Saccharomyces cerevisiae S288C: one gene and its partners. The gene in region 1 interacts genetically with each later gene. Each region holds a gene or a part of one and is shown in the gene's direction. Other genes may lie near its edges.

Region 1 (5,112 bases):
TACTTTACCCATCGGTGCTGGGTTGGGCTCAAGCGCCTCTATTTCTGTATCACTGGCCTTAGCTATGGCCTACTTGGGGGGGTTAATAGGATCTAATGACTTGGAAAAGCTGTCAGAAAACGATAAGCATATAGTGAATCAATGGGCCTTCATAGGTGAAAAGTGTATTCACGGTACCCCTTCAGGAATAGATAACGCTGTGGCCACTTATGGTAATGCCCTGCTATTTGAAAAAGACTCACATAATGGAACAATAAACACAAACAATTTTAAGTTCTTAGATGATTTCCCAGCCATTCCAATGATCCTAACCTATACTAGAATTCCAAGGTCTACAAAAGATCTTGTTGCTCGCGTTCGTGTGTTGGTCACCGAGAAATTTCCTGAAGTTATGAAGCCAATTCTAGATGCCATGGGTGAATGTGCCCTACAAGGCTTAGAGATCATGACTAAGTTAAGTAAATGTAAAGGCACCGATGACGAGGCTGTAGAAACTAATAATGAACTGTATGAACAACTATTGGAATTGATAAGAATAAATCATGGACTGCTTGTCTCAATCGGTGTTTCTCATCCTGGATTAGAACTTATTAAAAATCTGAGCGATGATTTGAGAATTGGCTCCACAAAACTTACCGGTGCTGGTGGCGGCGGTTGCTCTTTGACTTTGTTACGAAGAGACATTACTCAAGAGCAAATTGACAGCTTCAAAAAGAAATTGCAAGATGATTTTAGTTACGAGACATTTGAAACAGACTTGGGTGGGACTGGCTGCTGTTTGTTAAGCGCAAAAAATTTGAATAAAGATCTTAAAATCAAATCCCTAGTATTCCAATTATTTGAAAATAAAACTACCACAAAGCAACAAATTGACGATCTATTATTGCCAGGAAACACGAATTTACCATGGACTTCATAAGCTAATTTGCGATAGGCATTATTTATTAGTTGTTTTTAATCTTAACTGTGTATGAAGTTTTATGTAATAAAGATAGAAAGAGAAACAAAAAAAAATTTTTCGTAGTATCAATTCAGCTTTCGAAGACAGAATGAAATTTAAGCAGACCATAGTATCCTTGATACATTGACTCATAATCAGTTAAATAGCCATTCAATCCCTTTGAGCTATCAACTTCATATTCCTCCACAAGGTCCTTCCACCCGCGAATTTTACGCAGCCGACTTAATTCATCTCCTGTAAATTGGACCAAGGGTTTGGTGCCATACTTTAATGGACCTACATTGACCCAATGCAGCTCTTTACAGTATTTCTTTAGTGCTTCAATACTGGATAGATATTCAAACATATTTTCCGCGGTATCTATGAAATATGCGCTACAAATGATAATTTTATCATAGTCTTTGGAAATGGGAGAATATCGTGTGAAGTCCCCCCATAGTGGGTCCAGATTACTGCGGTGGCCAACTTTGCTCAAATCTGCCGATAAACTTCTCAACTGATTATCAAACACTGTCTGGCATGAATATTGTTGTACAAAAGGACGTATCTTAACGTCATGCTTATATTCGAGTGCAAATAGGTTACATATGTACATCAAGGCTGATAATTCGATGGAGTCCACCTGTATTTTGGGGAAAGTGGTGGCAAGAGTATGGGATAGGCCACCCACACCAGCCCCTGGGGTCACGATAAGAATTTTCTCTTTCATGTCCCCGGCACTAATCACATGATGGTTGATTCTACTAATGATAAAATTTTGTAAAGGATCTCTTTCCACACTATAGTAAGAGCTGAAATCACGACACAAATGTGCTAATGCTTCATGGACCACACTTTGGCTGCCTCGAGACGAAACTATTGGAAATACGAAGTCAGGATTCAATTGAATAAGGTGACCATCTTTAATCTTATAGCCGTGTTCCGCGCATATCTTTTCAATTTCCTCTGTAAATTCTTCATCGTGTTCGTTGGAATGAATCAATTTCCCTAAAGTGAACTCAATTATCTTGTCAATAACTCTTGCGTTTTCTCGGATACCCTCATTATTTTTCATTAATTTGGTGAAGTAGCCTAATTTTTGCAACTGATCTTCTGAAATTCCATTTAATTGTCTTGCTCTCCGAAATAAAAGGCCATTATAGCCTTCTCCTCTTGCTCGATACTCATGTAAACGGATTAAATTCCCCGTAAGATCAGGAAGAGTGGGAATCTGATAATTAATTTTAGAAAGATTCGATTGATCGGCAGATATTGATTTCTCAACATCAACCAATTTTAAGGAGGGCGATAAAACGCTGACTTTTTGGGCCAGATTTGATTTTCTTGATAATAGCTTTTCAACATATGATACAAACCACCTCTGCAACGGCTTATTTTGCCTTAGCAGTGTCATCAGGACTACCACAAGGGCTAGAATTATATTTGATGCCAGTGAGCTAACCATTGGCGCTCCTCAACTTCGTATATCAATATTTTTACCTCTTCTATTTCCTGAAAAATTTGTTAATTGTACAGCATCGTTTACGTTTTTTTTTTTTTACGGGTCTTCTTACCTAACCCCGAAAAGTATTGTGGATCTTAAAAGGGTCTCAATTATTTGAAGTTCGATAAAAACCAACTACTTTGTTATTTTAAAACTGTATTATACAAACGCTGGTAAACTTCCAGAGACGATATGCGTCTAAAAGAATTGTTACCTAATTTTTTGATTGTTCATCAAGAGGTCCCTGAGGATCCTATTGCATTCAAGTCCACCGATAAACGAGAGAATGAAAATAAAGAGATCACCATCCCTGAGCTAATAGATACTAAAGTTCCTGAATTAGCTGACGGTGCTACTGACACTTTATATGGTTTACTGGTCAATGGCCATTTACAAACTGCATATGGTTCCTTTAGACACTTTGACAATATATACAAAGTTCAATATAAAAGAATGATAATCAAATACCCACATGGGGGAGAAGGGACTGTGGATTTTGCTGTAAATGGTAGAAGTACCAAAAGAAGAAAAGTGGAAAAAGAATACGTGCCGACAAGTCAACCGGTATTTAACGGAAACTTGAAACGAAGATATTCGTACTATTCCCCTGATGATCCTAAATTGAACTCAGACGATGCTAAGCCTATGCTTATTATTCTCCATGGATTAACAGGGGGTTCGAGGGAAAGCTACGTGAGGGCAATTGTTCATGAAATCACCACGAAGTATGACTTTGAAGCATGCGTGTTTAATGCTAGAGGATGTTGTTATTCTGCAATTACAACGCCGCTATTATACAACGGTGGTTGGACCAATGATATAAGATATTGTGTTAATGACTTGAGGAAAAGATTTCCGAATAGAAAGTTTTATATGATGGGATTTTCGTTAGGCGCATCTATAATGACAAATTACTTGGGAGAAGAGTCAGATCGTACTAAAATCGAATGTGCTATTTCCGTGAGTAATCCATTTGACCTGTACAACTCTGCATATTTTATTAACAGTACACCAATGGGGTCACGATTTTATTCACCTGCTTTGGGTCACAACTTACTACGCATGGTTCGAAACCATCTCTCTACTCTGGAAGAAAACCCTGATTTCAAAGATGTTATCGAGAAGCATTTAAAAAAGATTCGCACTGTGAGGCAATTTGATAACTTGTTGACAGGCCCAATGTTTGGATATAAAAATGCAGAGGAGTATTACAAGAATGCTTCATCATATAAAAGAATACCCGGGATCAGAACTCCTTTTATAGCTTTGCATGCTCAGGATGACCCAATTGTCGGAGGTGATCTTCCTATAGACCAAATAAAATCCAATCCATACACTTTGCTTCTAGAAACTTCGACGGGGGGGCATGTTGGATGGTTCAAAGACAGATCCGGCAGAAGGTGGTACGCAGAACCCTTATGCAGATTTTTGAAAATATTTCACGACGAAATTACTGTAAAGGGCTTAAAACCTGACTTGGAAAATGTTCAACTCCCAGATCCTAATTGCGAACCCATAGCCACAACCTTTCGCGCGAATTAGTTTGTAAATAAGTCAACTTTTTAGATGTGTAACCTGATAATTTTTTTTTTTGATGTTCGACATCATTATTTCTGAATGAAAACGTGAAAAGCTTCGCCAAACTTAAAATGGAAAATTTCGAATGGAACAAAATATAATCGATGCGATGAATTAAAACCTTGGAAGAAGAGGGTTAATTGTTAAAATTACATATATAATTGGCAGACAAGAATAAAAAATGCATGAAGTAGTAACGATATCGGTTTCGCAGAGAGCAAACCATTTGACTACTCAATTCTTCAATATACAAGAGGGCTATTTACAATTGTCTAAAGAACAACAAGTCAATGACTCCAAAATTTTTCTGAATTCGGTTGTAGATAAAGTTTCAAAAACAATTTCATATGCACCACGTGCCTTACTTTGGGATGCCCGTACAGGTAATGGTTCACTAGGAACATATCAATATTCAGAAAGCCAAGACTATCATTTCGGCAATGAAGACAAATTCAAGGAGCAAACAGTTATAAAGACTCATCCAAGAATACCTAAATCCGAATATCAGAGTTCTCTAGATGCAGGAGCACCGCTGCCTTGTTTGAACAGAGAAAATACGATGTATTGGTCTGACTATTCTAAACTTATCTATGGTCCTTCAAGTTTCAATATTTTGAGAAATTGGTACCATGACACTGAAAATCCAAACCAACCTGACTTTCAAAACTTGGGGGAGCGAAAGTTTGACAGGTATTCCATTGGTTATGACGAATTTACCGAAAATTACTTGCAAGAGTTTTTTGATGGAAATTTGCATAGAGAATTGGAAAAATGTGACACCCTGCAAGGCTTCAATCTTGTAAGTGATATGGAGAGTGGATGGGGCGGGTTTTCTAGTGCTCTACTGGTGGAATTAAGGAATGAATTACCTAAAAAGGCGGTCTTTTCATGGGGACACAATGAAGATGATCCATTCACAGATGACTTCCCTATGAAAAGACTTTCAAAGAAATGGCTCCCGATCATTTCGAACAAATTAAGAAGCACAATAAATATGATGCAAGAATCCGATCTTTACTTCCCATTGTATGCTGCTCCTGGACTAACTAATTGGGAAACTGCTGGAAAGAGCTGTAGGATATTTGATTCT
Region 2 (4,863 bases), on another chromosome or scaffold:
GCGCGGAATTGCTACCACTTTACGTCTTTCTTCATGTTCCTCGGACGTTTCCAATCATTAGCCGTTCCTCTAGACATCTACAGATCTATTCCTAATCACAACCTATCTCTAGCCGCAAGATATATCTGTGTGAGAGGGGTCGCAACAGGAATACCTTAAATGGGATAACCGTCACGTGACTCTCACTAGGGGCATCAAGTGCGCTGCTTCTTCAAGGTTTTCGCGCCCTGTTTGAAGAAGTGGCACAGAATCCATAGAGTAATATTACTAACGAGCTACGAAACTTAGCTTACCTATTAAATACTCAAAGAAAATACGCTGTGTATGCTTTTGCGGCACATCTATGTCATTAAATCTCTCCATGGCGCGTATATTTTATGACGGGAAATCTGAGGCCGATCGAGGAGGGAAATTACTAGAAAAGCTTATCCTTCTTTACCTCCGAACAAATTTTAAAATATACCTCAATGGGAATAAAGAATGCAAGGAAAGGCAAGGTTCAGCCTATGATGATGAATATCGTACTCTAAAATTATAGATATCTAACTGTGGGCGTATTAAACCTTGCTTTGGTCATTATCCAATCGTGTATGCAGAGAGCGGGGCGATATGCAGCAAACAAAAGGGGCGAAATAATAGTTACTCCAAAGATGAAATGGCAGAAGAAAATGGAAAACTATACAGTTTGCGAAGGAGGCATCCTCTTAGTTAAAAAAAAATTTGGACTCATTGCACTGCAAACAGAGTTTCTAGGATTGTCATATTTTGTACCTCCTGGAATGTTAAGACTTTCTCATTAATAATGGTGTGATACACTTATAGTTGGGTGCTAAAAGGTAACTGCAAGCCCCACATCTATAATATTACCGTTAAGTTTCCGGCGAATAGTTTCTCTTTTCGCCCCTCTATTTCTCCCTTCAAATGTGAAGATAAGGAGGACAGCCATAAATATTCCTGTAATGACATTCCATCTTGGGTGGACAATTTTATGGTATAATCAAGCGTATTTAGAAGTTTGGGCGACAGTATTTCAAGACGAGATGCATAAGTATTCTCTTCATCCTCAATCCCGCGATGCTAAAACAAAGTTTTGTTGTTGCATTCCATTTAAGTAGAGCAAAAGCGTGGCAAATCTGAAAAATTGCCACATAGGGTGCTAAATTTGGTATAATGGCACAAATAAACAATCTCAGTTTACTGACAGTGAACTACAGGAATATACAATTTTGAGGTGTTAACGACCAACCGTTAATAGCTTATTCTCTCATATGTTATACCACTGTAGGAAGAGGTGGTTTCAACTGTATTTTGAGCACAGGTAGATATAAGCTCTGGACAGTTTTGCTACCCCTTGAAAGAATTCAACAGTATTTTCTGAGGTACTCATCGTAAAAGATTGCTAATTTTGGTCGCGATGTATATAGGTAAAGGAGTATTTCCTAAAAGTTGCCAAAGATTATCAAAATATTACCGTGTTTATAAAATAAACTGACACCCGGATAATTAAGAAGTGGTAAGCTTATGTTAGAGTACTTGTACTTGACAAGTAAAATCAGAATTGGGAATTATCAATTGAGATCACGTGCAAACCGAAGAAATGCAAAGAAGTAAGGTTAGGGTTTATGGACCCAGGCAGCAGAAAATTGTAGCTTCATTTGTTGGCACAGGACTATTCCACCCTTAGAATTGACTTTTTGGACATTGAGCTAAGGTTCAATGCACTCGATGGTCTTCTCACTTCCGAATATATAGATCTAGCGTGTGAGGACTACTCATTGGCTTGCGATTTACGGTTTTTATATTTTTTGCCGCACATCATTTTTTGGCCTGGTATTGTCATCGCGTTGAGCGGACTCTGAATATAATCCTATTGTTTTTTATGGATCTCTGGAAGCGTCTTTTTGAAGCCAACCCAACAAAAATTCGAGACAAGAAAATAAAAAACGGCACTTCATCAGTATCACAAATACCATCAATTTATCAGCTCTCATGAATGAAATCGATGAGAAAAATCAGGCCCCCGTGCAACAAGAATGCCTGAAAGAGATGATTCAGAATGGGCATGCTCGGCGTATGGGATCTGTTGAAGATCTGTATGTTGCTCTCAACAGACAAAACTTATATCGAAACTTCTGCACATATGGAGAATTGAGTGATTACTGTACTAGGGATCAGCTCACATTAGCTTTGAGGGAAATCTGCCTGAAAAATCCAACTCTTTTACATATTGTTCTACCAACAAGATGGCCAAATCATGAAAATTATTATCGCAGTTCCGAATACTATTCACGGCCACATCCAGTGCATGATTATATTTCAGTATTACAAGAATTGAAACTGAGTGGTGTGGTTCTCAATGAACAACCTGAGTACAGTGCAGTAATGAAGCAAATATTAGAAGAATTCAAAAATAGTAAGGGTTCCTATACTGCAAAAATTTTTAAACTTACTACCACTTTGACTATTCCTTACTTTGGACCAACAGGACCGAGTTGGCGGCTAATTTGTCTTCCAGAAGAGCACACAGAAAAGTGGAAAAAATTTATCTTTGTATCTAATCATTGCATGTCTGATGGTCGGTCTTCGATCCACTTTTTTCATGATTTAAGAGACGAATTAAATAATATTAAAACTCCACCAAAAAAATTAGATTACATTTTCAAGTACGAGGAGGATTACCAATTATTGAGGAAACTTCCAGAACCGATCGAAAAGGTGATAGACTTTAGACCACCGTACTTGTTTATTCCGAAGTCACTTCTTTCGGGTTTCATCTACAATCATTTGAGATTTTCTTCAAAAGGTGTCTGTATGAGAATGGATGATGTGGAAAAAACCGATGATGTTGTCACCGAGATCATCAATATTTCACCAACAGAATTTCAAGCGATTAAAGCAAATATTAAATCAAATATCCAAGGTAAGTGTACTATCACTCCGTTTTTACATGTTTGTTGGTTTGTATCTCTTCATAAATGGGGTAAATTTTTCAAACCATTGAACTTCGAATGGCTTACGGATATTTTTATCCCCGCAGATTGCCGCTCACAACTACCAGATGATGATGAAATGAGACAGATGTACAGATATGGCGCTAACGTTGGATTTATTGACTTCACCCCCTGGATAAGCGAATTTGACATGAATGATAACAAAGAAAATTTTTGGCCACTTATTGAGCACTACCATGAAGTAATTTCGGAAGCTTTAAGAAATAAAAAGCATCTCCATGGCTTAGGGTTCAATATACAAGGCTTCGTTCAAAAATATGTGAACATTGACAAGGTAATGTGCGATCGTGCCATCGGGAAAAGACGCGGAGGTACATTGTTAAGCAATGTAGGTCTGTTTAATCAGTTAGAGGAGCCCGATGCCAAATATTCTATATGCGATTTGGCATTTGGCCAATTTCAAGGATCCTGGCACCAAGCATTTTCCTTGGGTGTTTGTTCGACTAATGTAAAGGGGATGAATATTGTTGTTGCTTCAACAAAGAATGTTGTTGGTAGTCAAGAATCTCTCGAAGAGCTTTGCTCCATTTACAAAGCTCTCCTTTTAGGCCCTTAGATCTCACATGATGCTTGACTGATATTATTCGACAATATGATTATGTCGTGTAAATAACCCACTTTCATGTTGTCACTCCCTCGGCTTTGGTTGGTTAAAGGGACTTATCGGTTTCTTTTTTTAGAGTTGATTTAAGATCAGATCGAAGTAAATAACGTGCAGAACATTGCATATGATAGATAACAACCTATAGTATATATTTCAAAATCGCGACAAATCTGAAATATTAATTGATTTGATTAGCTGCAGAGATCTTCTCGATGTAAGGAGCTATTTAAATAGAAAGGGTCAGAATCGTCGTCCTGTGGGAGCTGGTATATACTAAATTGATGAACAACTAAAATAGCACTCTCATTGTCATTTTGGGTGTGAGACCTTAAGCAAGGAGAGATATTTTTAATGGATGTATTAGCGCAGCCGTTGCTTACGGTATTCCTTGGCATATTGTCCCTGAAAAAAAACCGTTGTACACTCGGATACGCATTTTTCGGACTTCTCCCACCCAAGAAACGCAACTTTTGAAGGGCGCCTACACCACTAGACCAACAAGGCCAATGCAAAGCTACAAACAAATGCGTGGGCGCATGGGCATAAGGAGGTGTAAAAAGCTTTTTTTTTTTATGTGAGGAATTACAGGCGGAAGATACTCAAATAAAGCACTGATTTGATGTTACCGAACTTTTCCCCAGGCATAAAATTTTATTTTCATATTTCATCAATTCGATATTATTGATATCGCACCTAATGTAGTCATTTCCTTTCTCTCTTTGCTAGTAGATTTTAAAAAGGTTTCTTGCTGTATTTTTTTATACTTTTATAGACGCCGCTTTCCAAAGTTCATCTAAAATAAGTCGCTACAATGATTTGATCTTGATTCGGTGCTTCAGGAGCCTGCTTGCTTCTTTGCAGCTTCGGCAATTTGGAACCTTGTGTGCATATCCTCGTTTGTAAGCCCAGAAGCACACAGACATCGATCACATCTATAATAGGAGCATGCTATCATAAAAGATTCACAGTATTCGTATAATTACATGGCAGACTTTTTGAAAAGAATGGTATGGAACCAAGTGAGCGCCTAGAAAAAAAGCTGAAAAGCTGAAATCTTAATTGGATAAGAAACTTCAATAACATTTTTCACGCGTTTCTTTTTCAACTAGATTAGCCTTAACAAACGACAATCATCGAGTACCCACGCTCATTACGCTGAACGTGCAAATGTAACGGGGTGGAAACCTAAAACGTTGAATGAACTAGCCAGAACGATGACAATTGCGGCAAGCTTTCCATACGTGTTCT
Region 3 (4,758 bases), on another chromosome or scaffold:
TCGTCGCTTTTAATAATCCCTGAATTGCACAATTATTTGAGTGCTTTGATTTCAGACGTTATTGAGTCTCCAGGCATTGGTACTGCTGGAAGCGCTGAAAGTCGTTGGGAGTATGATTTGAATCGCTATGTAAAGGAAATTCTTTCGAATGAGTTGCAATATATCGATAAGGATTATTTCATCCAAGAAATGAACAGAAGGTTGCAATCTAACAAACAGGAGATTTGGGAAGAGATCACAAATAGGTTAGAGACACAGCAGCAGCAGCAGCAGCAGCAGGTTCAACAGGATTATTCTAACGTGCCACAGCAGTATTCGAGCATATTAATGAAAAGATTAATTCACCAAATTTACAATTCCAATCAACACCAATGGGAGGACGATTTAGATTTTGCTACTTATGTTCAAGGTACTAAACTATTGAACCATTTAACTTCACCAACCTGGAGACAGGGCAGTGGGGTACAGCCGATAGAATTACTGACCGACTCCAAACAAAGCTCCTCAACTTACTGGCAATGTGAGAACGAACCTGGGTGTTCATGGGCCATAAGGTTTAAAACTCCTTTGTATCTAACCAAAATTTCGTACATGCATGGCCGTTTTACTAATAACCTACATATAATGAACTCAGCACCAAGACTGATCTCATTATATGTAAAACTGTCACAGACTAAAGAGATCAAAGCATTGCAGACATTGGCAAATCAATACGGTTTCGGGCAGCATCACAAGAGAGACCGAAATTACATCAAGATCGCAAAATTTGAGTACAGGTTGACAGATTCTAGAATACGCCAACAAATGTATCTGCCCCCATGGTTCATTCAGTTAAAACCACTCGTACGCTCAATTGTCTTTCAAGTGGACGAGAACTACGGGAACAAAAAGTTCATATCTCTGAGGAAATTTATCATCAACGGAGTGACACCGCAGGATTTGCAAATAATTGAAAATAACGAGTTCCCTGTTTTACTGGGTGACACCCCAGAATATGGTGTCACTCAGAACACCGACGAAGGCAAGAGGAAAGTTCTCCTATCAAAGCCTCCTTACGCGTCTTCATCTACTAGTACCAAGTTTCATCCCGCTTCTAACGTCCCATCATTTGGCCAAGATGAGCTAGATCAATAAACGACAATAAAAAATTAAACGTTCTAACCCCCTGGCCCCCAGAAAATCGCGCAGATTGACGGCACTCCCTTTAAATCATAGAGTTAATCAGCTACTCACCACTCTCTTTCGGTACTGGCGTTATTCTGAATTCCAACCTTGAACACAGCCACACGGCATTCAGATGTTGCTCCCATGCGTGGACTCACGCTCTGCGATTAACAGCTCATGGAAATTTCCTCGTGCTATTTAAGACTGCAGTCGTTTGGAAATCGGAATATCTTTTTTCGTGCAGTTTTGCGGGAAATTTTCCCTACTTAAAAAGCTGAATGAAAATCAGAAATATCTGCAAAAAAAAAAGGTAAAAAAGGGAAATTTTAAGACATAGCATAAAGGACTTGGTTTTGTTTCAATACTCAGCCCTTTTCATTCATTTCTATCACAAGTTTTTTTTTGCTCTCGTTTCCATTTTCTTCGTTTACTTATTATTGACGTACATCTTTTTTAGTTTCAAATAACATAGCAAGAAGGCTTAACTAAGTTCCTATATTCTTGGCATATTTATCATCATCAGGTCTTTTAAAAGTATCTCAGAACGTAACTTCAACGCCTTTAGATTTTTTTCACAACACGACTCTATTGCAAGAGACAAAAAAAATTAAAATGGGCATTTTGGACTCGCTGAAAAAACCTGTTAATATCAAGAGTTCGCTCCCCAAATTCTCCCGCAGTGCTACCAGCATCAATTTAAGTAGCCACCCAGTAAGTTCACGGTCCTTCCTCGAATTACCACCAGAGCTTTTCAGCATCACTAAACCTATATTTAAGCTTCTGCAAGCACACGCAAATAAGATTTACTTCCAATCTTCCGACGCTGAGGCTGTATGGAATGTTAAGGATTCTTCTGGACATGTTTTTGAAGCAGAGTCAATTTCTTTGCTCGGCTCTCATATAATTATCACAAATTCCTCTGTACAAGTCGCAGACGTGGCCATCATAGATTCCCCTTCCAACATAAACCAATGTGAAATTTCAAGCGTTGGAGAGTTCCTGCAATTCAATAATGGCCAACTATCTATCACATGTAACGATTTTGGTTTACTGGAGAAGTTCAAAAGGTTGTGTATGATTTCTATTTTTGAGTTCATTTCTATATATAAGGCCTTGACAGGCACAGTGATTTCCTCTTATGGGCTGAGAATGTCTGATATGCATATCATTTTGAACTCGCCGTTCAATTTTAAGGATTGGTGTGAAGTTTATCTTGATGGTCAAGGTTGGGTGAAAGTGTGGTGTCATATTGATAAAGTGTCTAAAACCAATAATTCTAAAAGTAGTAGTGACAATGATGCTAAAGGAAAGTATCAAATACGGTTTTATAGAGATGACAAATCCACATCTAGCAAGAACTGCGTTTTTTTTATTCCTGACAATGAGTACGTTCAAGATATTTTCTTTTATAACATCAATGCGGCAGAACCTTCTAAAAATATGAACGACTTTTTTCAAGGGTTGCAAATGATAAAGCTCGTTGGTAATGTACGCTTTTGCAGTGATACGGACTTTAATGATGTGGTGGATAGTGGATCCATCTATAGTAGTGCAAACAACGGCAGTGGTGACAGCAGCTCGACAGCATTGAATAATGAAAGTCCTAACACTACACCAAAAAGTAGAACTTTCTTTTCACCTAAAGGGCACAGAAGAAATAGCTCCCATGTAAGTTCGTTAACTTCTAGATCAACAAAAAAGCCTATAACTAACTTCACTACACGTACAAATGGGCTTTTGATTAGGCCATTGCCCCATCATGGCGTACATCACCTGGAAGCAATGATCAGGTTCATTATTCCTTTGATGGATTGTGCAAGACTTTATGGGCGTCCAGTTCAATTCAAGACAGAAAGAACCGATATAAATTCGTTAATGTTTGGATTACCTAAATTGCCCTCAGTGGATTATTTTGCTGAAGAGGAGATTGCCCATTTGATGACCCAGGAATTTAATCCTTTGAAAGAAAAAGATACTGACGATACTATGGCTTTAACTATGTCAAGATTTTCTAGCTACCTGCAAGAAAGAATGACAAAAGTCTCCAAGAGAAACACAGAACTCAACTTCAGGACCTTTAGTGATGTAATGGGCATGTATAATACTACGAGGGATCACTCTAAACTTAATTGCATGAGTGACAAGGATAATTCTGTGAAGGAATTTTCATTGAGTGATAAAAGCAATGTTAGTTCTGAAACGACTAATATGATGAATCAATTGCAAGTAAACGCCCATGAATACAAAAGTTCTATGTGCGAACGTCCTATCGTCGCAAGTACTTCGCCCATTGCATAGTTCTTCGCATATATAGCCACATCTCAAAAACTTACATACAGTGTATATATTTGTGGTACAGTTTCTGTATAGCCAAATATACCCTGATATAATCTTATGTGATATTATATACTTCCATCCTAATACTAAACTTTTTCGTTTAACGTGACGCATGGTGCGAAGAAAAAAAAATAGCAAATCGCCACTCAATAAAGTGAGTAGAGAGCATTATATCAAAAAAGCATCGATAATATCGAGTGATCATACGTTGAAAATCATCAAGTACAATAGTGATATAAGCCACAATGCAAGCTCCAGTGGTATTTATGAATGCTTCTCAAGAGAGAACTACCGGTCGTCAGGCCCAAATCTCCAATATCACTGCTGCAAAGGCAGTTGCCGATGTCATTCGAACTTGCTTAGGTCCAAAAGCTATGTTAAAGATGTTATTGGATCCTATGGGCGGTCTTGTGTTGACTAACGATGGCCACGCTATTTTAAGGGAAATTGATGTTGCACATCCAGCAGCTAAATCAATGTTGGAGTTATCCCGTACTCAAGACGAAGAGGTTGGTGACGGGACTACAACAGTTATTATTCTAGCTGGTGAGATTTTAGCTCAGTGTGCACCTTATTTGATTGAAAAAAATATTCACCCTGTTATTATTATCCAAGCCTTGAAGAAAGCACTGACTGATGCACTAGAAGTTATCAAACAAGTAAGTAAACCTGTCGATGTGGAAAATGATGCCGCTATGAAAAAATTGATTCAAGCCTCTATCGGTACTAAATATGTCATACATTGGTCAGAGAAAATGTGTGAATTAGCTCTAGACGCTGTTAAGACTGTCCGTAAAGACCTGGGACAAACTGTGGAAGGTGAACCTAATTTTGAAATCGATATCAAAAGATATGTCCGTGTGGAGAAGATTCCTGGGGGGGATGTTCTAGATTCTCGCGTCTTAAAGGGTGTCTTATTGAACAAGGATGTTGTTCATCCAAAGATGTCCCGTCACATAGAGAATCCACGTGTTGTTCTTTTGGATTGTCCACTAGAATATAAGAAGGGTGAATCTCAAACCAACATAGAAATTGAAAAGGAGGAAGATTGGAATAGGATTTTACAAATCGAGGAAGAACAAGTTCAGCTAATGTGTGAACAAATTTTAGCCGTTAGGCCAACACTAGTCATCACTGAAAAAGGTGTTTCAGATCTAGCACAGCATTATTTACTAAAGGGTGGATGTAGTGTTTTAAGAAGAGTGAAGAAATCAGACAATAATAGAATTGCTCGTGTAACTGGTGCAACCATTGTCA

What was found. Genes that interact genetically often act in the same process or in processes that back each other up.
Region 2: mutations in MGL2 (region 1) and ATF1 impair growth when combined (synthetic growth defect), as found in Saccharomyces cerevisiae (one study listed by BioGRID).
Region 3: mutations in MGL2 (region 1) and TPH3 together harm fitness more than expected from each alone (negative genetic interaction), as found in Saccharomyces cerevisiae (2 studies listed by BioGRID).

The regions. Positions count from the first base shown.
Region 1 is NC_001145.3:684,880-689,991, forward strand, and holds MGL2 (putative carboxylic ester hydrolase), read left to right. Parts: upstream 1-2,636; coding exon 2,637-3,986; downstream 3,987-5,112. Other genes in the region: ERG12 (mevalonate kinase), read left to right, coding at 1-919; YMR209C (uncharacterized protein), read right to left, coding at 1,032-2,405; DML1 (Dml1p), read left to right, coding at 4,204-5,112. UniProt on the Saccharomyces cerevisiae protein: Converts monoacylglycerides (MAG) to free fatty acids and glycerol. Has a preference for palmitoyl-MAG. Does not play a significant role in ethyl ester biosynthesis. Also possesses ester hydrolase and low but persistent TAG lipase activity.
Region 2 is NC_001147.6:1,044,237-1,049,099, forward strand, and holds ATF1 (alcohol O-acetyltransferase), read left to right. Parts: upstream 1-1,989; coding exon 1,990-3,567; downstream 3,568-4,863. Other genes in the region: YOR376W-A (uncharacterized protein), read left to right, coding at 960-1,115. UniProt on the Saccharomyces cerevisiae protein: Major alcohol O-acetyltransferase that uses acetyl-CoA to synthesize acetate esters from various alcohols, producing ethyl acetate, isoamyl acetate, isobutyl acetate, butyl acetate, hexyl acetate, heptyl acetate and octyl acetate.
Region 3 is NC_001142.9:403,812-408,569, forward strand, and holds TPH3 (Tph3p), read left to right. Parts: upstream 1-1,776; coding exon 1,777-3,462; downstream 3,463-4,758. Other genes in the region: MPS3 (Mps3p), read left to right, coding at 1-1,134; chaperonin-containing T-complex subunit CCT3, read left to right, coding at 3,747-4,758.